Linked DNA regions of Lonchura striata. The protein of the gene in region 2 purifies or fractionates together with the protein of the main gene of each other region. This does not show direct contact. Links are inferred from orthologs where the notes say so. Each region holds a gene or a part of one and is shown on either strand. Other genes may lie near its edges. The genes, in order: PDE6D and INPP5E.

Region 1 (11,815 bases), on a different chromosome or scaffold from region 2:
ACTGTCATTGACTTCAGTGTGTACAGCACAGCAGGCTGAAGTTGGAAGTGGAAGTTTCCCTGTCTGCAGAGTATATAATAGATACTCCTAATGATTCTGGTATAACTGTATTTTCAATACATCTCTACCCACCTTTCAAAGAGAATAATTCTCTGCTAGAAAGACTTCCCAGGCAGAAAAGCAATAGTGAAAATAAAGCTGAAAAAAGCTCTGGGAGCTGGGAAGATGTTGCACAAGGAACTTTGAGGACTGTAGGAAAGTAGGCCAACCTTTGACGTAAGAAGTTTTACCTGCAAGTGTTGGAGTGCTTGAGCTGCAGGTGTATATTTACACTGACCACAAACGCAAGTTTCGTAACTCTGTAATTGTTCTGGAGTTAATACTGTCAGTTAATATTGTCTCTTCTTGCTTATGTTCACTGTATTACCTTGTTTCAGGAAACTTCTGAAGAATGGGCTACTACACAGCCTTAAAATTAAGTTAATGGAAAAATGTATCCTAAACTGATAAACAGCTACAGGTCAATTAAAACTACAGAGATTTTGATAAGACTTCTCTGTACAGAAGCAAATAAAAGGTGATATCTTGCTTGACTTGTAAGATTTAAAATAGAAAGCATATGTCCTTACACTGTGTTGAGTAGCAATACATGGAACTTTAACCATCCTATGAGAATCAACCAACTCATTTGGGTTTTCTCTTCCTTGCTGTTCTGACTGAAACCTCACAGAAAGAACTGCTTAAAGAAGTTAGACTGTGGTCCCTCAAAAGTTGGACGTGAATCTGCTGTTGCAAACCATGACTGGATATTTCTAATCTACAGCATGGATGCTTTCCAAATGCTGCCAAAACAAACTAAACAGGGTAACTATCTATAGAGTCCTTATTCTAGCACATTTTGGAAAAATAATTCTGTGCTAGTTCATCTCAGAACAAAGGTCAAGAGGCAACCCACCCATTGTTAAGGGAGTTGTTGAGGGGGAGCCATCAAAATAAAACACTCCTGAACTTTAACTGTTGGGGAAGTACATCACTTTCTTTTGATAAATCATGCTAAATAAATGCATGTAATAGTACACACTGAAGATAAAATGACAGAACAAGATCTGAAGAATGTGTGGAAAGGGTAAGTAAGGGTCAAGTAAAATGCCCTTCTGTAGCTTGACAGAATAACTCTCCCATCTTCCAGAGGGGAAAAAAAAAGGCATAATCTAATTTAATGCATTTGAGATCACAGGACCAGATGTGCATAAATACTTGCAAAAATAAGACTTGGCTAATGCTTCACACAAATGAATCTTCAGTTACCAACTGGATTGATGTTGTTTGTAGCCAAACAAGTGCATTTTCATAGCTACCTGTAGTTATTACATTGGGTGTAACAACTGCTGTTCAGACAAGTGCCTTCAGAACAGTTTGTTGATAAACACACAAGCTCTATTAGCAAATATTGTCCCTGAACAAGTGACAAGCTCTCTTAGTTGTCTGCTTTCAAAATTTTTCTGCACCGTATTTATTGGACTGTTAGTAATATTAACTGGTGCCACAAAAATTCTTAGCATAAGTGTAGTAATATATAATATTCTAATTTTCCTGCAAGCATCAAATATATTTCCAGAGGTTTTAATATTTTTAAAATAACAAAATCCATGAGAAGAAGGAATAAATGTTCCTGGCTTGGATTTTGGGACATTAGTCACTACATGTTTCTGCACTAGTGTCATAGAGGAAGGAAAACCTATCTTTGCATTGAAATTAGAGGGTGGATTTAGGCTATAATTTAATTTCCACATACCCCAATCATCCAGCGTGCCCCAATGAGTTGGAAAGCTTGTAATTAACCCCTTCTCAGGAACCACAAGGAAACAGAATTGTTTGAGGAAACTCTGATTACTCAATGTGAACTGGACTTCCAGCTTAAGTGTCTGCTGTCATGTTAAAATTAGGGATTATTTTGGAAGCCTGCTTCCTCAGTGATGCTTTTGGCCCTAGCAACTCTTCTTCTCTCCCAAGGAATCCCTCACACACTGCCCCTGGGTGCAATGCCATGCTCCTCTCTTGTGCCAAAAGCAAGTTTCAGTTTGAAGTGCCAAAGTTGCTTGAGTTGGTGAAGCTGAACTCCTTCCCATGTGGGAGCAGAGGACAAAGTTTTCAGATACTCAAAGTATAAACTGAACAGTTTTTCAGAACACGTTTCTCTCTTCCTTTCTATTAATTAAATGAGTACATGCAGCAATAGGGTGGCTGGAAGATAAAGCATCTCTAAACTGCAATTATCTCTGGAACAGATGCCTGCCCTTGGACAAGGGAAGGGAAGTCTGAGCTGATGTCTCCCTTGCAGGGAGCATGGCCACAGCTGGGCATGAGCAGTTTCCTGTGGGGATGGTGTGGTGTCTCAAGGCTTCCCCACAAATGAGGAATGTCTGCTCAGCCTCTCTTCTGGCTTACTAAAGGCAACATAGATGTTTCTCAACTATTTCAACTTGCTAAAAGTTTCAGTTATGAAATGTTTCTCCAAACTTTCCTGTTTGTCAGACTTTGCACTACACAGCCCCTGTGGCAGCTCCCCAGATTTTAACTTAAACTGTCCTGCCAGAAGTATTTTTTTTTTTGCAAGGACAAACAAAGGAAGACTAGACTTGAGATGCTTCAACACAGACTGCAGAGTGCTTCTAATAAAACTTCTTATCCATGCTATGGCTGCTTGAGATCATAATTTGTTGTCTGACATCCTTCCTCTCAAAGAGCAAAATGCATTTTCTCTTTAAGACGGCAAACAACAAAAAGTATTATTTCATTCAGAGTTGGGCAAAGGCCTTTATGTAAATTCTGCTATCCAATAAATACTATGTACAAACACATGCAAAAAGCACTTAAAAGTTTTCTCCCTAGGCTTAACTTCCAAAGCACTCCTCACTTCTACCAACAGCTTAGTCTGGTCTTGTGAGAAGTTTATTCTTCTGATTGCCAGCAGAAAAGATTTTTAGTTTATTTTTTGACAGCTAAAATTCCACATCTTCATAAATACAAAGAACTGTCAATAGTGCCAGTGCAGAAGCAAAGGAACCAGATGAAGTACTAACAGCTGGAGGAGACTGCAATGATAAAAAGTTAAGAAAAGCATCGGCTTATAGTTTAATAAAAGCTATCTGTCTAAATCTAACCTAAAAAATCACATCCTGCTACAGCTGGCATAGAGATTATGAACATCTCACAGAACAAAAAACCCCACCACCCTGTTTAGAAATAACAGGCTTCGATCAAGAGGATATTTCCTTCACTTCTGTCCTTTTTATTGTAAAAAAAAAGAACCAACTTATAACAATATTCTGATGTCTAAAGATCAAGATAGCAATCTTGCATTTGCCTTCTAAGCTGAGAAGAATTTACTTCAGTAAAATATTCCACATGTAAAATAAAGCTACAATATTTCTCACACCTTTAGTTTGAACATGGGCCTTTAGGTCAAGCCTTTCTCTGCTTTGCTGAAATCCTGGGTTGGAAGGTGCACAAAGGCACTTGCCTCTGTTCCAAGCTCAGCTCTATCTCATTTCATCAGCTTTAAATTCACATCCAGGTACCACAGGCATAAAATCAGAACGCTTTTTGAAAGCCACAACATGAAAAGTTTTTAAACGAGCTGCACAGAAAGGCATTTACACGCAGAATACGTCAGCAATAAAAGACACCGCACGACCAACACATGTGCCAGTACCTCACGGCATGACAAGGAACGAGGTGCTTGGGTGCTCCTGCACCTGATGACCAGGTATCTCCCTTCCGAGCAGAGGTGCTGAAGGGCAGGCCGGAGGGAAAGGGGTCAGATCCAGGCGCAGAGCTACTTCACCTGCCCTCCGTAAGCTGTCCTCGCTGCGGGCGGGGGGCTCCGGCTGCCCGGGGCCGCCGCCGCCGCCCAGCCCCTCTCGGCGCCGGGCAGGGGCCGAGGGGCGGCGGTCGCCCACCGGCTCAGGACTTTGGGCGCGGGGACCCCTCACCCGCGGCACCGCAGGCAGGGACGGGACCCCGGCATCGCGAGGCCTCCTTCCCCGCCCCCCCGGCCCGGCCGGCCCAGGGCCGGTCCCAGCCCCGAGGGACCCTCCCGTCACCGCCGGAGCGCGGACGCCATTGAGAACCGCGTTGCCATGGCAACCTCCCTCCCGCCCCAGGGGCCTCGCCACAGCGGGGCGGCGATCCCCGCGCCCCCCGCGGCGCCTCGCGGCCCCCGCGCACGGAGGATACAGCTTGAAGCCGCGGAGGATCTCCTTGGCCCGCTCGTCCGTGGCCGACATGGTCCTGCCGCGCCGCGGGCGGGCGGACGGGGCTGGGCCGGGCCTGGCGGGAGCGCGGCGGTGACAGCGGAGCCTCGGGACCCCCCGCCCCTCCCTCCCGCGCACCCGCCACTGCCCGGCGCAACCAACCCCAGCGGCCGCCCGCCGCCGTGCCGACCAATCAGCTGCTGCCGTCCCCTCTTAGCCCCGCCTTCTGGCGCAGGAATGACAGCGCTCCTGACCAATCAGGCGGCGCTCTTCTATTCAAGGGTGGGTGCGCGGCGGTCGCGGGGCCGCTGTGGTTGGGCCTGACGTGGCCGCGGTGGCGGCGCCGCAGGGTGACCGGGCAGGGCTGCGGGCGGTCCCCGCGCCCGGGAGGCCTCAGCGGGAGCAGTCGAGGGGGCCAGAAGCCTCCCCGGGCCCAGCCAGCGGCGGCCGAACGGCCCCGAGCCGCCGGAGCTTGGCTGGCGCTTCTCCCCAGGCAGCGGCTCCCCGAGGTTTCGTCTTTGGGGCTGCTCGGCGGAGCTCCACCCGGAGCAGCTTCTGCTGGAGACCTTCAAAACCCACCTGCACGAGTTCTGTGTCATCTGCTCCAAGTGACCCTGCCTTGGCAGGGAGTTGGACTGGATGGTCGCCAGAGGTCCTTCCCAAACCCAACAGCTCTGTGATTCTGCGTGTCCCGAGGCCGGAGCCAACGGGACCAGCATTGTGGAGAAGGTTTAAGATAAAGAGTGCTACCCCCTGGAACAAAGGCAGCCTTCTTTGTGCTGCAGAAATTTGAATCACAGATCAGCTTGAGTTGAAAGGGACTTTAAAGACCATCCAGGCTGGCCTTGAACACATCCAGGGATGGGGCATCCACAGTTTTGCCAGGCAACCTGTGTCAGTGCCTCAGCACCCTCACAGGAAATAATTTCATCCTTACATCTAATCTAAATCTGCCTTCTGTCATTTTGAAGCCATTCCTCTTGTTCTATCCCTAGAATTGTATTGCCTTGTAAAAAGTCCCTCTCCAGCTTTCTTGTAGGACCCCTTCAGGTACAGAAAGTCCTGAATAATGTCACCCTGGAACCTTCTCCAGGCTGAATAACGCAAATTCTTCCAGCCTTTCCTCGGAGAAGAGGTGCTTTAGCCTTCTAATCGTCTTCATGGCTTTTATGTTTGTGTAGCAGAGTTGATTGTGGGGGGAAAAGTCTCAGTATTGTTAGCACATCCCAGAAGCCAGGCTGCTCTTTTACATGAGCTAATTAATTAACCCCTCTCTTAACAATCTGAGTGCAACTGATAAAAGCATTAAGTCGTGGTAAAAATAAAGCCAGCAGTTGTAACCCAGTCCTCAGATGAGGAGCAGTGAACAGTCAGGGTGCCATCAATACACTCACGCATGGCTCTGCTTGCCTCCAAATCGCCCGCTGTACAAAAGTGGAGACTGATTGTTAATAAAGGCTGCATTTAATGCATAAGGGCAAGGCCACTGTCAGTACAACTGACAAAATATCTTAAAAATAGGCAGCATTTATTTTCCTGATGTATATGAGCCATGCTCAATTTCCCACCATCAGTTTAAGTGTATGAAGGGGTCATTCTGAGTGTGGGCAGAATGCCAGGAGTGAGCTGTGCAGATATATATTTTATTAAGAGTCCATCCTGGATTTTAGCTAGGCTGTGGAATTGCATGCTGTCTAAAGAAGAGAAAAGACTGATAAGGAGAAAAGGCAAGCAAGACAAAAGCAGACCTGGAAAAGGCAGAAACAAATGGTTGCATGTAGGAAATGAGCCTGCTAGGTGGAAGTTGGACATTCTGGTTCAGACAAGTCGTAAGAAACTCAATCCTGTCTCCATTCAGGCTCCTCAGAGATTAAGGAGCCAGAGACCAAATAAATCTCATAGAAGGGAACTCTTGCAGCTTTGAAGGGCTTCTCTAGCACAGGGGTAGAGATGTTTGTGGAGTTTCAAGTTGGAGCCTTTGCATTTCCTGGCCAAGTCTCAGAATTCACAAAGTCCTCTTGCTGTGCAGGGAGGCACAAGCCTCTCATTCATGAATTTCTGAAAATCACAGAAGAGCTCATAGCTGAAATGTGAAGCTCTTGTGCAGGGCCAGGCAGCAGTGGAACACGTGACAGCACAACTCAGAGTGACAAAAACCCTGGGATCTCTCAAAGGCCTTGGGCTGCATTAACACAAACAGCACTCTTGAGCACATCTTCTTAAAAATCTCCTTGCAAGAAAGTTGCTGCAAATCCCTCTATCCTTTGGTGACACTTGGAACTGAAAGCTTTTCCTTCACTTCACTGGCAGGTGTGGCAGCTTCTGAGCTACCACTGCAGGCAAGAAGATGCCTCCAGCCTGTTTTCTGCTTCTCCAGGTGCAGGTGAAGGAGCTGGTGTTTCTGCAGAGCAGCATAACTGGGGGATAGTTTAGTAAACCAGGGCTTCATCCCACCCCACACTTGATGGAAGAGGTTGTACAACTACCCAGACATCACTCCTTGCCTGGCTGAGATGAGAGTCCAGCAAGCAGCTTACTCCCTGGATCCTGGGAAATACAGAGAGTTTGGAAACTTTTCAGTAGGGCCTGGGAGCTCGTCTCCATCATGCTCTGGAGGTGTGTGCTGGCAGCTGCAGGGAATGAGGATAAATGCATGGAAGCACACACAGGTGAGTAATGAAATATAAGGAAAAAAATAAGAAACACAAAAGTGTTTTCACTGTTGGCCCTCTCCTTGGTGACGTCAGGTGTCCTCAAAGTCTGGGGGTCCAGGACCCCACTGCTTGGGGACATTACTGTGGCAATGCAGGGAAATAAGGTGAATTATGTGCTGCCTTAAAGGGACCTGGACTGCAGAGTCACAAGGGGAAGAGGTGGGGTGAGCCAAGAGATAATGCCAACATTAAAAGATAAAATGGATTAACATATCCTGGCACACAGAGAGCTGCGTGGGTGGAGCAAGAGGTTGCAATAGCTGTTTAAAAGGGAATGAGACAGCTGGACATACACATATTTTTTTCCTCTTAAAAACAAAAATCCATCCCAAAAGCTGAGCTTAGCTGACTCTGTCCTCCAAAGTCCAGGTCAGCCAGCCAGGCTGGCTGTCAACAGTTGGGAGGTATCAGGACAGAGACTCCTGGCTGACCTACATGGGGCTAACAGATGATTTTTAGCCACAGGCTCTAGCAAAAGGTTGCAGAATCCATGGAAAATAGCTCACAATAATATATTTCCATTTCTATTTCAGCCTGGAATTCGAGCTTTAGCAAGTGTTGGGAAAAAGGAGGCCACACACTGCTTGTCCAAGGCAACTGTTCCAGCATGTCTGCAGGATGACAGGAACTGTGGGGAAGGGCCTGGTTAGGATGTGATTAAAGAGGTAATTCTCCCTCCCTGTGCAGATGAGGGCTAAGTGTGGCTTAAGTAAATTACTGACTGGCTTGTTATAGCCCTGGCTGAGTTCCCTTGTTGTGCAGGGTCTGGTTTTTTACATCCAATTTGCTGTGAAGCCCAGAGTGTCACAACAGCATTCCAACACCTGCATCTCTGCACTTGTCTGACACTCCTTCTCTGATGCATGATGGGACCCCAGGGCCCTGGCTCTGAGACACAGGCTAAGCCCCATCAGTTTCCCTAATAGTTTCTGATGTTCATTCCTTGAAAGCTCCCCCCTTCCTGGTCCATGATTTGATCTTCAGAGACTTGCTGACTGAAAGCCAGAAGCACTTTGCTCTCAGCTGAAGGATTTTTAACAGAGGCACATTTAGTTCACAACATGGCATGGATGAGCCTACAAACTTTGGGGAGGTTAACAATCCCCAATTCCCTCTTGTTTCTACCCTCATTCTGATACCCCTTCAAGCATCTTTTGGCTCCTGATCTATGCCCTGGGGAGGATCTTAACCCTTCCAGTTCCCTCCCTGCTCCCCTATGTCACAGCCAGAGCTCTGCCCTTTGATTTATCATTTGTATGGACCATTTTTCTATGGAGTTCAAAATCAGTTCTATCTTCACTCCATCTCTTGCTATTTCCCAGGAGGACTGGCCTGAGAGGCTCAGCTGGTAGAATCACCAAATATCCTGAATGGGAAGGGACTCATAGGGATCATTGAGCCTAATTCCTGTCCTTGCACAGCACAGTCCCAAGAATCCCACCCTGTGCCTGAGAGTGTTGTTCAAACACTCCTTGAGCTCTGCCAGGTTTGGAGCTGTGATCACTTCCCTGGGGAGTCGGTGCAAATGCTCCGTGCAACCATTCAATCTAATAATGGCCCCACTTCTAATAACGAAGTGGCCTTACAACAGCAGCCCTTTGCACGGGTTATTTTGGGGTGCAAACCGCCGTGATGCTGCCACAGGATTTCATATCCCCTAAAAGAGGCAGGAATTTTACTTGCTTATACTGGACAGCTGCTGGGAGCCAGCAGAGCAGCTGGCGCAGCATAAAGAAGTGAAGTTTGCTCCGTGGGCTGCCGGACCATGGCTCTGTCGGTGCCAGCACGCCCAGCCCGCCGTCCCCATGCCGGTATTCCCGGGATGCGGCATTCCCGGATTCGCGGTTCCCGCTCGGTGCGGCCGCCGGGGTCGGGCGGAACGTTCGGCGTGGCCCGCGCGTTCCGGGGGGGAAGGAGCCGCGCGCGGACACCGGTGCCGCCATCATGGCGGCGTGAGGCGCGGCGGGCTCAGCGGCGGGACGGGAGGCCGGCAGCGGAGAGGTAACGCCGGGACTGGGAGAAGCCTCCCGGGAACGGGGGCGGCGGTGAGGGACTCACAGGAAATTCCCCCCTGCGGCAGGGCTCGGTGGGGCCCCAGGCTCTGCCAGGGGTCTGGGGGGAACGGCAGGGCCGGGAAACCCCCGCCTTCCTGCTGCAGGGTCTGCGGGCCGCTCCCCGCCCTGAAACTCCTTGAGCTACCTTCGAAAGGCTTGACCGCAAGAGAAGCCCGGCTTGTCCCCCTGCTTGGGTTGTTGTAGCCTTTGGACAAGCTACGTTGGAGTGTGTGCTTTATTTCAGTCGCTTCTCACCACGATAAGTCGGTTGTGGAAGCAGCGAGGTATTCCCTGTGACACGGGTGTGCACACACCTTGCGATAGCACCGCAGTTGTCCGAACATTTACTTGGAAAGGGGCAGAGAATTGCATCTCTTCCCAGCAGGGCATGGATTCAGCCAGCCAGTCTTTTGTAACCTCATACATGGTTTGATTACCTGTGAGGGAGGACAATAGAACTGTGAAATCTGAATCTCATTCCTAGCACAGTCAATCCATATTCTCTCGTGAGGAAATTGCCCTCTCTGCGAGCAGAGGGAGCACACTGATGTGTTAGGCAGGCACACTGAGTGTTCTGTGGTGCAGGGGTTTCGGGATCAGAGCTGAGGTGCTGTTCAGCAGCTGTGCTGTGCCTCTGGTGGAAGGAACCCCAGAGAGACTTCGGGGGCTGAGATATCTCAGTGTGGAGAGTGTTAAAGGTTGCCCTCTAAAGCTGAGACCATTTGTACCTGCAGGTGTAATAGAACAAAGTAAAGTGTATTTTTAGAAGTTGATTAATACATGAAGCTGTGATGCCTTCACAAGCCTTAATTTGGTTAGGCCTGGTGAAACAGCAAAACCCCTGTATGACTGTGCTGCCCCCACAAGGGTGGATGTGGGCCCAGCCCATGTGGGTCACACAGAACCAGACAGGCTCTCTGGTGTTTGGTTTTCATCAAGGTTATACTCTCTGCTTGCTAATCATCCCTTACAAACATAAACAAAACCTCCCTTATCTGCTAAGTTCTTTATTTGGTTTCTGAATAACATGCTTGAGAAGTTTTGTCTTATTTGTTTGTAAACAAACAGCTCATTCTCTGGAACTTGTTAATAAATAGTGGTTTACATTTCAAAAGCAACATGTTGGTGCTGGGAGACAACATGCACACCAGAAATGTCAGGCAGCAGCTGAAGACAAAGACCTCTCTTCACACGGACTTAAATAGAGCCTTTGTAGAAAGGGTATTTTTATCACTTAAGCTTCCCAGTTAACCCCAAACACTTGAACTGCACAGTGCAGACAGGGGAGCTGCTTACAGGCCCCAGTTCTTTTTACCTTTTGGGCTCAGTGGGAATTATGGGAACACAATCTATCAATAGCCAGAGTCAAAGGAAAAGGTGGGATGTGTGGGCATACAGAGTGCATCAGTCCTTCACAGGGAATTATGTTGGTTGCTGGTTTGGAGCTGTGCAATGAGGAAGGAGAAAGTCAATCAAGTGTATCAATAAGCATCTTTACAGTTGGTATTATTTGGCAGCATCACTAGAAGGAAAAGTCTGAAAACAGCAATAAAATATAAACTCCTGTCTTACAAGAAGGGATCTGCAAGAGCAGATCCTTTTAGGGAGCAGATCAGACAGAAATTTTGCTTAGAAATTGTGGGAGTCATCCTTGTTCCCCAGCTAAATCAGCAATTGAGCCTGCTGGGTTTTTGGTCTGCCCCCTGAATGCTGAAGAAAAGGCTGGCAGCTGAAATGTTGCTCTGCTGAGCACCTTCTGGCCCCCTGCCAGGCAGAGGAGAAAGGATGTGTTAATATTATGTTCTTTTGCTGACAGATTGCAAACCTAGAATGGCAGGAGAACAGAAGCCATCCTGCAATCTTCTAGAGCAGTTCATTTTACTAGCCAAAGGAACAAGTGGCTCAGCTCTGACTGCTCTTATAAACCAAGTGCTGGAAGCTCCTGGGGTTTATGTCTTTGGAGAGCTGTTGGAGTTAACAAATGTGAAAGAGGTAAGAGCTGAGTTGTTATTCTAATGCCCTTACTGCACTACTGGTATAAGGGATCTTCAGAAGTTTCCACAGGCAGCCTGTGGGTGAAATTTCTGTGCCAGGAGGGCCTGTTGCAACTTACCTGGCTTGGGAGATGTTTTTGAATAAGAGGCTGACCTTGCTTTTGCTTGTATATGTTAGGTGTTAAAGAATACCTATATGAAGCTTTGCTACCTTAAGGCAGTTGCTAACACAGCAAAAACCTGGCAGCAGCACAGTAGCAGTTTTAAGAAGGCACTTTGGCAGCCAGCAAGGAAAAAGTCCCTTTCTATTTCTTTACTGTCCTGGAAAGCAGAATTTCAGTGCTCTCCAAAAGTCTTTGTGAGCAGATGTCTAGTGTATCAGGCCTGGGTGGTAACCAAATCCAAACCATTTCAAAGCAAGGTGGAAAGCAAGTTCCAGAGCTTTTGCTGAGAGTGCTTTGCCAGCCCCTGCCTCTTCTACAATGAAAGAATCTTAAGTTGAGTATCTCTGCAGCTGGAGTAACACAGTGTACAGCAAGTTTGGCTTTCCAGGCAGGCTCTTAAATATGCATAAAAGCACCTTGATGGTCATTCAGCAGCAAATCACAAGTGCTGTTTTTTTCCTGGGTTTGTGTGCAGCTAATGGTATTAACAACCCAATCAGTAAAAATCACTGCTTGGTGCTGCTGTTATTCCAGTGAAGAGTTTGCAGGCAAGAGCAGTTACCTTCAAATTCACTCCAGTTACAGTGTCCCAGCTTGCTTTGCTTTGAAGCTGTGGTGGCTCTGCAGGTAAGC
Region 2 (11,044 bases):
ATCACTGCTGAATCTGAGAATTAACAACCCAGGAGAAAACAGAACAGAAATGTTAAAAACCATAGAAAAAGCTGAAAAGAGACCAAACTATCTATAGGACCTAACACCAGAGGGAACACAAAAAGCTAATGTTACCCTGCAGATAAAGAGTATATTCAATTTCCTAGTAGAAGGACCTAATTATCTATCTAGGTATCAAGCTGTCAGCACAGTATTAGGAAACCATAATGGACTTTGGCAAACAATGCTCTGACCTGTGTACACGCAAAGTGACATAAGCTTTATTCTGTTAAATTTGAAATAATATCATTCCAATATATAATAACAATATATAATTGTTCTAGAAAACACCAAGAAAGTAAAACACATCTGTAATATTAAGAATAATTAAACCATAATTATCATATTGCTAAAAAATACATAATGTAAAAATTCCCTTTTGAATTTTCTCTCTTCCATTTCAATTTTTTTCTCAAATTCCCAATTTCAAGAGAAAAAAACATAAATCATGGGAGTAATAACCATTCTCAGACAAAAAGACCTGTGGTTTCTTTTTACACAGTCTCAAATTATCACTCTTCTTGTCTGTTTCCCAGTGCAGAGATAATGCACACTCTGCTGACCCGGGCTCCCCATGCTCATGGTTTCCCACTTACTAGAGCTGGATCGATATGGATTTGTGTCCGGAACATTCTTGGGAAGTGTAAGGGCTTGAATGGTTTTATTGTAGTCCAGTTTCCTCTCATTCACTTTACTGTCCCCAGCTGCAAGACAGAAACCCCATTACTACCACCAGTGAATCATTTTCATTCAACAATCATTTTTTGTTATACCAGGAGCTTCCAAAGGGTATCAGACATTTTCCACATATCAAATGTGACACTCTGGGAGTGTCTGCACTGAATAATGATGGCAGAAAGTGTGGGAAGAGGGACACAATGGTGCAGAGTTCATTTCTGTTTCCATTAACACAGTTCTTTTGTAAGTTTGTTACCAAATAAACTTCCTCCCTTATCTTTGTCAGCTCAGCAATCCTGAGCTTTGGCTTCAGCCTGTCCTGCTTTTTCACCTCTGTACAGCTCCCTCCCCTCCTCCCTCAACCAGGACACTCGTAGCAAGATTGCAAATGTCTCACATGTGAAGTGGGAGGTGATGAAGAGAAAGGAGGTCCCAAAAAACGTGAAGCTGATTCCCAGAGCTCCCTTGGTTTTGATCTGAGACACGATTCGAGTTGTCACCGTGGCATACTCCACTTCTGGAAGGAAGAAAAGAAGATGCTGTTACTGAAATGCTTCTGACAGTGAGCAGGGAGGTTAGGAGAGGGAGAAAAGGCAGGGCAGAGGCTGGCAGCAGTGCCTTCAGCTCCCCACGCACCCGAGCAGAACCAGATGAGATCCCTGCGGATGAACACGGACATGTAGAGCACGCCGTGAGCAGCCGAGTGCAGCAGGACGTAGTGGGGGCCCAGCGTCTCCTGCAGGCGGATCTCCCACTCCCTTCTGCAGGAGAGAACAACAGCTGGATCACACAGACAGCACGGGAGAGCACGTCAGCCTTGTGCACACGCAGCAATCCCTCTCACACACAACATCAAGGCATAAACAGAACCTCCCTGCACTGAACTAAGGGGTGGCCGCTGAGGTGCCACAGAAATCAGCAGAGCTTTGCCATCAGGATGAAATTCTGTATGTACACAGAAGCTGTTCTATCCCTGAGAGTGTCCAAGGCCATGCTGGACAGGGCTTGGAGGACCCTAGTCTAGTGCAAAGTGTCCCTTCCCATGGCAGAGGGTGACACTGGATGGGCTTTAATGTCCTTTCTAACCCAAACCATTCTGGGATTTTATGATTTACAGATCTCTGTCACTTTTTCCTCTAAATCCCATTTCCTCTGGTGCTCATGCAATAGAATTCAGTCTTGTTAAATGGGTTGATTATTGAAAATATTAGAAATACAATGACTATTTCTAGTCTGTTTCAAAGCAAAATTATTAGTTAACAATAAAAGAAGATGGTTCATTACATTGTTTTTGCTACCTGTCTGGACAGCCTTCTTGAACCCCAATGACATACATGTCCTGGGCAAAGTCTGGATCTGTTGGCAATAAGAAGTCATCCAGATTCACTGGAAGTTCCTATTACACATGAAATTTAAAATAAAAAGAAAGAAAAGCAGTATTAGTTATGCAAATATTTACTAGAAAAATACCTTTTAATTTGACAAAGATGACTGACAAGGAACATAGTCTTGAACAGAAAAACATTCCCCCAGTCCTCTCAGCAGAGCTGGGGTAACTTTACTGCCAGCTTTACTGTGCACCTACCTTCTGCCCCTGCATGTTCCAGGTGGCCACAAAGATTCCCATATTCCGATTAGGGAAATATCTGCTGAGTTCTTCTGCTCCCATTAAGGCACCACTTGCCAGAAGGCTGCCTTCCAAATAGCTCCTGTGGACAGAAGACCCAAAGAAGACCATTTAAGGAAAGGGCAGGGCAGCTGGGATATTGATGTGTAATGTTTAAATCTTTAAGTAATCAAGAATATACCTTTAAGAAGAAGGAATTTAACATTTATAAATTGTTCTGCTTGCCTGAAGCTCCTTCCAAAGCCAAGACACAAGGGTGATGGTGAGGCTGATGATGCTCAAGTTCTGTGATGAGAAGACTGAAGCAATCCAAAGTCTTCAGCCCCACTAAATTCATCCAGATACAGAACAAAGAAATTGGTTTGGTAACTTCAGGGTGCTCACAGGAGCTGTGGGTGCCCCTAGATCCCTGGCAGTGCCCAAGACCAGGCTGGACAGGGTTTAGAGCAGCCTGGGACAGTGGAAGGTGTCCCTGCCATGGCAGGGGTGGCACTGGATGAGCTTTGAGGTCCCTTCCACCCAAACCATTCCGTGATTCTGTGATTCCATTAAATTTGAGTACCTTGAAGCAGCTCAGTTTACTTCAAACATCAAAACAGCTCCACCATTCCCAGTGTTCTGGCATCAGGTTTCTTTAACAAAAAACTCAAACTCACTCATTCTTCCTTTAATTCAGCTGATCAAATCAACTTCAAGAAAATAATTTATTGAGCCTGAGGTCTCAAAATATCCCCTTTGGGAAGGACAGATGCATCCCACAGCACCCACAGGAGTTGAGGGACGCTGGCACAGGGACTGCATGTTGAATAAACATTTTTAATCTTGCTTAAGATCTGCAAATAATGATGAGAGAATAAAGTCAGGGAGTTCTGGGCAACCCAGCACTGCCCTCCTGGCTCCAGCAGCTTTAGGGAGGAATGGGAAAGAAAACCCTCATGGCAAACAAGTAACAATCTATCTTTGGGGTTTTTTTACCAGCTAGTAACATTTTAATTTATCTCAGAATTGTTTCCCCTCCACTACTGACTCCCACGCTTTGGATCAATGATTAGGATTTTCCCTCCTGCAGAGGAGCTCCTGTGGGATACTGGAGTAGTTCCCAGCACATAATTTGATCCTACCAAAAAGCAAACAAGTGCAACTTCTGCTCAGCACCTCACAGGACTGTGATAATGCTGTATGACAATCTCAATTTAAAATATCTGGTGTTATTTTTTTCTGTAATTTATCATTTCAGTTCAAGCTCAGTGTACTTTTAGATTTTTCTAAAAAAAGTTTTCCCAACTGCTGGTATGCACAGCCACCACTTCTTAATTCTCAAATCAGATTATGTTAATATTACAAGCAAACTGACAGCAAACCAGACTGAGATTTATGAAAATACTTAGCTAAAAGGAGGAAAGGAGAAAATGCAGAGTACTTGTACTGATCTCTTCATCTTCCAACACCCTTCACAGCAGGTTAAAGAACAGAGAATGGCTTTGGAGCTCAGAAGTTCCCTGCCCAGTGGGATTCTTCTCCCTGCTGACACCCCAAAAGCAGGAGAAAAGCTGGGGGAGCCCTACCTGCTGCGGACATCCTTGGCTCGGATGGGAGTGAGCACGCTGAAGGTGGATTTCATGGAGTCTGTGGAGCAATTGTCATAGAGCGTCCCATTGCCCTGCAGCCGGGAGTCGCTGAGGCTGCTGCTCACCCTGCCAAACTTGTGCTGAGAATAATGTCGGTAATCCAGGCAATCTGAGTCGATCCTATTAGCTGTCCTCAGCGAGTGGGAGGCCGCGTTGAGCTCCATGGGAGGCAGGGGGCGGGCCGGCATGATTTGGGACAGGCGGGGTTTGCCCCCCGCGAACCCCTTGCCCCGCAGGAGCCCCCCAAAGGCACTGGAGATCTCGGAGGCTCGTTTGCCCAGGTCCGAGGTGCCTGCCCTGCTCTTCCCCCCGGGACTGGCTTCCAAGGCGTCTGGTGAACTGTGCAAGGAATCCTGCTGGCAGCAGGGATTGCAGGGGCTGGCCCTGCCCCTGGTGGGCGGGCTGGGGGACGCTTCCTGCAGGGAACCATTGGAGGAGCTCGTCTCGTTGGGATCAGTCAGACTTTCCTGGCTCGTCCTAAATCGTCTCCACTTCCTCCAGCTCTTTTCATCCAGGGATGCAGCACGTTCCAGCCGGGGCTTCCGAGGGGGCCTTGGAGTGATCGATTTAATTTTCATGTTAGCTTTGAGTTCTTCTGGCAGAAGCTTTAGGGTCTCACTTATGGGCGTGCCTATTTTCGGAGGTGCCCCATCACCCCCAGCCTCCTTTTTGGCTGCTTTTCCAGCTTTTTTTGCCTGCAGGTCCTGTACTGCTCCACCCTCCATGCTCCGAGTAAGACACAGCCTTGAGTGCTGCGGAAATCCATTTGGAGTGCTCATTGTCCCCCAGGTACCAGCTATGGATGCTGCTCCAGGTGAAAAGTTCCTCAAAGCATACTTTCCTTCCCTTTATCACAGGGCTTTACTCAGCCAGTGAGACATGGGAATTGCAGACAGCTCAGCCTTTAGCTGGGAATGAAGGGCAGGTGAATGTGCAGGCAGATGCATTGTCTGCAAAATTCCAAGACGTGGGGTACCTGGATTCCCCCAAGAAAGATATAAGAAGGAAAAGTTATCGAGCTGCAAACTGTCCTCCTCGATCAGAAAGCATCTCCTTGCAGGACCTCCCTATAGCACAACTCACACCTCAACGTGACCTTGTCAGAAAATCACTGTTCTTTCCTGTTTTTTGCCCCAAAAGCAGAGTACAGACCTCCTGTACGGCTGTGTACACCCTTCTTTCAGGAAAGGCAGCGTGCCCTGCTAGCACGAAAGGGAATTTAAGCTGCACAGAAACCACAGCTCGTTGTCCTTGCTGTACACAGGCGTCACCAGCACCGGCTGCCCGAGGCCAGGAAATTTCCAGCGATCCCAGAGCCGGGAAATCGCTGCCGCTTTTTCCTGCCTTGCACCAACCCCGCTCACAGAAACACCCCAGGGCCGGCTTGAGCTGCGGGAGCGGGCTGCGAGTACATCTCTACACGGGGGGAAGCACCTCGTCGTTCTGCGGCCCTGAGGGGGCAACACGCGGCTCTGAGGCAGCCCCGAGCGCGGGCTCGGCACCGAGGGGCCGCCGCCCTCAGCCCGGCCGGGCGGGCGGGACCCGGCCCTCACCCCCTCACCCTGGCCGCCCCTCCCCGCCGCTGCGGGCCTCACCGGTCCCTCACGGCTCCTCGCCGGTATCCGCGGTCGCTGCCCGTTCCGGTCCCGGCCCGGCCGTGGCAACGGGGGCAGCGCCGGGCCCGCCCCGCCCGCAGCGCCCCCCGGCGGCCGGAGGAGCGCCCGGCAGCGAGCGCGGGGTGAAGGCGGCGTTGAGAAACAGATTAAACGTGTTAATTACACTTGGGGGAATTTAAAAGATGCCTGTATTAAGCCTCAAGCTTCGATTTTGATCAGTACAAACGGCGATGACAGAATGACAGACTGGGGGTGGTAGGGACCCTGAGGATCGCCCAGTTCCCAGCCTTTGCCGTGGATACACATGGACATCTTCCATATGCTCCAAGCCTGACCTTGGATGCTTCCAGCGATGGGACAACCTCTACCACAGCCTCTTCACCCTTAGCGAAAAGGAGTTCTTCCCAATATTGCACCGACACCTGCTCCGATGAAGCTGTTCCAAAAACCAAACGCTTTCCTCACACAGATCGTTCCCAGACAAAAAGGAAAGGCTCCTTCACCCACCTCATTAAAGCAATAACCACAAGAAGAAAGTAAAATGTGAAAGTGCTCCAGAGCGCAAAATATTTTATTTAAGAATTTACAGTGTCAAATCTTACACTTAGGAAAGACAGCCGCTCCCAGCTCAGGGGGAGCCTCCTTGCATGAAGTTGTTTGGCAGTCTCTACTGAAAGGAGAAAATAATCAGCAGCCTGGCTGGACTAGAGGAAAGCCAAGTGTCTGATTAGGTTTCAATTATAGAAAAGTAAACCACACTGACTGCTGCTGTCCACGTCGGGAATTGAGAATGGACCAGCACACAAAAGTTTCTAATCCCCCCCAAAACAGTGTTTTACTTGGGCTGCATACAAACTTTTTGGGACATAGATAAGGCTACACAATCTTAGAAAAGTGGTGTTATTCAGGAAAAGAAAAAACAAAAAAAAAACAAACAAACAAAAAAAAAAAAAAAAAAAAAAAAAAAAACCCAACTAGGGACAAATACTGGCAATTTCACATTCGTATTACTTCTACTCCTGGGCAGAAATTCAAGTAAAATCAAATAGTTTGGTGGCAAGTTCTAAATAAAATATGGCCTAATGATTTAATAAATATTTAAAGTTTATTTCTTTCTTTGCAGATAATTCAGATTCTTCAGTGAATATAAACACTGCATACCACGGTTTTCAAGATTTCCTATATTAAACCTAAAGATTTTGAAGTCCATCTGTAGAGGTCTAATCCATCTACTTTTAGTATGAAATTTAGCTGTTAGCTATTTAAGACCTTGGTTATTTTAGTAAGGAAGATTCAAGAACGGCTTATTACACTGATTCTGGCACTCCCAAAAGGAAAAAATAAGCAACTTTCAAGCTGTTACCCCCCAGCTGCAGAGTGCCAGCAGTTTGAGAGAAAGCAAAGTAACCGTATTGCACTTAAACAAACACTCACTCGTCAAGAGAACAGCGTTGGCTATGATACAGAGCTCCTTCCCACTATACACTTGGCTTTACAGGTAGTCTAAACCACAAACTACATACAGACTAGGAAAGACCCAAATCAAATCAGGATTAGATTACAGTCACAGTTTTCATTCAATATAGGTCGATTTATTTGGATGAGCTGTGGCCCCCTCCTGACTCCCAAAAACCAAACCAGCATGAGGCAGCTCCTGGGTGAGCCCCTCCCAGGGGAACATCTCTGGGTCCACACTCTGTTTGGAATTGTGCATGGTCCTCTTAAGGCCACAGTGTTATTTTACAATGTGGACATGTTTGTTTTGTTGTGTTTTTTTTTTTTTTTTTTTTTTTTTTTACCCCTGCTGGGAGGGGAGCATCCTTCAGAAAATAAGGAATCCCTGAAACTATGTCTCGGAAGGTCACGCTAGTAAGGTTTAAAATAAACTTAAGGAATAAATTGCCTATGCAATTTACAAACAGGTTTTGTAACAGACAGCAACTATTTCCTCTCTTGTGCCTATTCTTTATCACAGCAAAGCTATTTCTAGCCAGGTTTTGAAAAGGAAAAGTTACATACATTTCATGTTTGGTAATGGTTTGCGTAGATGAGGTGCAAGCATGAAAAAGATCACCCATCATTAGATTTCTGTCATGTCACCTGCAGCTGATACCAGGTGCCATAAGGCTGAATAGCTCTTTGCATACTCAGAACATGAGTAAGGATTCCAAATACAAAGCCATTGTATTCTACTTCAGTGTTGGATACTTCCTCTGTCCAATTCTTCCCAGTCTTGAACTTCCAGTGGCTGCAGGAGACTGTAAAAAGAACAGGGATAACAAAATGTTCTGTAGAAGTGTCATGCTGGAGACAAAAATTCAAGAAATCAGCAATAAAGTTTTGAATGGGAACTTGTTAAATTGAACAGGTGCCAGACTGATCTTTGTCCACATTTAACACTCTACATCCAACAGCCCAGATGAAGTTGATAAAGCACAAAATCATGTTTTGTTCAAAGCATGGAATCAGACTGGTTTGGGTCAGAAGGGACTTTAAAGCCCACCACATTCTACCCCCTGCCATAGGCAGGGACAACTTCTGCTGTCCCAGACTGCTCCAAACCCTGTTCAGCCTGGCCTTAGACCCTTCCAGGGATCCAGGGGCAGGCACAGCTTCCCTGGGAAATCTTGAATAATAAGAAAAAGGATAAGGAAAGATGAGCTCTTCACTCACTTGTGCAAATTGAGAGGGGTTGTAGAACGGTACTGCCCCTGCTGAAGGTGCCCCCGAGGGTGGAACAGTGGCAGGCTGGGAAGAGAAAAAACTGAAATTAGACAAAGGCAGAGAGGAACTCCAGTGCCTCTTAAATGTGGTCTGCTATGTTATACAGAGCAAATATTCACAGGAATAATGCCAACAACATGGAGAGTACAGCCTATTGGAAAAACTCCAGAGTGCTGGCATAGTTTGCATCCAGATCTAGAACAGGGCTGGCTTAATGTAGGAATTGGCCAAACAGTGTCACATGCATCAACTGCAAATAGCTCTGCAGATCCAAAGCATGCAAAACCAACACAAGACACCAGTGCAACTCCACTCAATTAGTACCTTCTGCCTTTGTTAGTACACACCTCAAGACTTGCCCCAAAATAAACATTCTATATCAGGTTTTGCTTTATTACAAAATATCAGAAAGGTTTTTGTCACCCCTTTGTGGTGACCCCACAGCTCTGGAACTTCCAGCAGAGATGAAGCATTCCTTTAATTCCTACAGGGACTTTTGCAAATGGTTTATTACCAATTTGAGACTGGCAGCAGCAGAAAGACCAAGTTTTGCTTGTATTGAGTCTTTTTAGGAGGTTGGTTTGGTTTCGTTGGAGGAGGCTTGGTTTTATTTTGTTTAAAATCAACTGATTTCTTTAGTATCCCAGAAATAAGATGATGAAATTATGTGAATCTCTTAGGAACATCAATAAAAAGCATGCCTGGATTACATGCACTCTCATAAAGACACAAAACTGAAGACCCTGTTTGAGTGTAAAAAGGAACACTACATCATGATCTACTTTTAATGATAATTCTGTGAAATGAGGGGGAAATGACTAAAAGTAGCATTAGTATTTGAGCAGATGCAAAATAAAGAGGGGAGGTGGGGGAAAGTAAATAAGTTAACATAAATGAGAATGGCCAGCCACATGTACCTGATTAAAATGCTGGCTTACTTCACGTGATAATGAACTCATTGAACTAGAGCGCGAAAGCTACAAAACAGCAAGAACACACAAATACAAAAAAACACAAATAAAAAAAGTCGTCATGCATGTCACTGCCTCAAGCTTTCAGTTGTTTTATTTCATTGTCAAAGTCTCACTGCCAAAGGTTAAACCAACTTCAAGTTAAAAAAAAAAAAAAAAACAAAAACCAAAAACAAACGTAAAGCCAGAAGTTAGTTTAAATCAAAAGGACTTCTTAAAGCACAAAATTATGTAGGTATAGAAAACATTTAGTAGGAACAAAGGTCATGTTACTCTGCCTGGCACACAGCAACTTGCTCTCCTTGTGTCTTGCACTTAATATTAGTGAAATTATATGCATGCATGGAGGCAAGAAGAGAGCCTGCAACTGCTACTGACATTTTAATCTGAAAAAGGGCTTTTAAATGTACTTATATAGGAAAAGGAGATCACAGAATGTAGGGTTGTGAATGGAGGCTGAACTTCTCATATGGGCTTAGAGGTCTTTTCTGTGTAATTCTGGAGGCAGTCATATCACATGTTGGCTACTTATCAGCAACTGAATCAGTTACTTGTTTTAGATGGTCCATTTTAAGACCACTACAATTAACAGTAAAAAGTCATTAATTAAATACTTTGCATCAAGCCTTACCTCGCCTGACTGGGAGCCATCAGGGTTAGGAACATGAAGTCCAGATCCAGGAGGAAGGGCTGCAGGGTTTAAGTACTGAAGGAAAACAAGGCACTTCTGTTTATCATCATTACTACAAGGCTATTCCACATTTCCCTTAAAGATCCCACTGGGGCAGAACAATGCTACAACACATCAGGCAGGTGTAGTGTGCAGTGCAAGACTCTTCCCATGTTCTCAGTCCCTTTCCTGCACCCATGGAAGCTGCAGCCCTATTCAAATTAGGAAATGCAACCTCCCACTTCCATTTTCACTTGTATTTCTCTTCTGTTCTTTAAGTAAAACGTTAAACCACAAACCCTACAACAACATCATGCTTTAAGGATTGTGGCTGTGAAACTGCTGCTCAGAATCCTGAGGGGGTTTGAATCAGAACTTTGGGTTCTCCTACAAGACATTCCTTGGAACCCACCTCTGGCTCCACAGCTGCAGCAGGGTCTGTGTTGGTTTGGTTTGCAGCTGGTGTGTGCTCTGCTGCTCCACTCCCCTCCACGGGCTGGGATTCCCCTGGAACTACAGAAGAAATAGGAATTACCCAAATACACCCCATAAATAGCCATAAAACCTCCCCACAATCCCATCCACACACCTGAGTTTGGAACAAACACGTTGGCAGGAATGGGCATAGGTGCCAGGGGGGCAAACAGGTCTGATGGTGCAGGAACAGCACCACTTGCCTTGGTTCCTCCTGGATTCAGGACATCCACATAACGGGCTCTGCTCCCAGCTAAACCAGAAACATGCAGAAAAACAGAAAGAACCCTTGTGTTTATCATGCCTGTGTCTACTTTGAACAGTTGGCTGGTTAAAGCATCTGTTAGGATCAGGAAATAACACTCCAGGGATACAAACAGTAATACCCAAGTCATGTCACACTGTACACTGTGATAGCAGTGCAGGAGCTGGGCATGAGCAAAGCCAGCAACACTGAGCTGCCAGCTGTTCCCAAACAACCCAGGGCAAGTCAGAGCTTCTGCCTTCATATTTTATGCAGGAGAAAGTCTTCAAATATCAGTGCTGGCTGATACCTGCTCTCCTGGAGAACACGTTGACAGAGGCACCAGGGGGGC

What was found.
Region 1: the proteins of INPP5E (region 2) and PDE6D purify together in Homo sapiens (affinity purification with mass spectrometry; 3 studies listed by BioGRID and IntAct, with this or other methods). This does not show direct contact. The link is inferred for Lonchura striata from reciprocal best matches to the Homo sapiens genes INPP5E and PDE6D.

What each region holds. Positions count from the first base shown.
Region 1 is NC_134612.1:18,213,956-18,225,770, forward strand, and holds the start of PDE6D (retinal rod rhodopsin-sensitive cGMP 3',5'-cyclic phosphodiesterase subunit delta), read right to left. Parts: upstream 4,383-11,815; 5' UTR 4,290-4,382; coding exon 4,240-4,289; intron 1-4,239. Other genes in the region: COPS7B (COP9 signalosome complex subunit 7b), read left to right, coding at 10,855-11,016. UniProt on the Homo sapiens protein: Promotes the release of prenylated target proteins from cellular membranes. Modulates the activity of prenylated or palmitoylated Ras family members by regulating their subcellular location.
Region 2 is NC_134624.1:8,888,735-8,899,778, reverse strand, and holds the start of INPP5E (phosphatidylinositol polyphosphate 5-phosphatase type IV), read right to left. Parts: upstream 5,672-11,044; 5' UTR 5,589-5,671; intron 4,970-5,588; 5' UTR 4,773-4,969; coding exon 3,931-4,772; intron 2,448-3,930; coding exon 2,324-2,447; intron 2,135-2,323; coding exon 2,037-2,134; intron 1,500-2,036; coding exon 1,375-1,499; intron 1,256-1,374; coding exon 1,136-1,255; intron 765-1,135; coding exon 657-764; intron 1-656. Other genes in the region: protein transport protein Sec16A, read right to left, coding at 7,799-7,867, 8,283-8,357, 9,251-9,310, 9,936-10,010, 10,387-10,487, 10,564-10,701, 11,003-11,044. UniProt on the Homo sapiens protein: Phosphatidylinositol (PtdIns) phosphatase that specifically hydrolyzes the 5-phosphate of phosphatidylinositol-3,4,5-trisphosphate (PtdIns(3,4,5)P3), phosphatidylinositol 4,5-bisphosphate (PtdIns(4,5)P2) and phosphatidylinositol 3,5-bisphosphate (PtdIns(3,5)P2).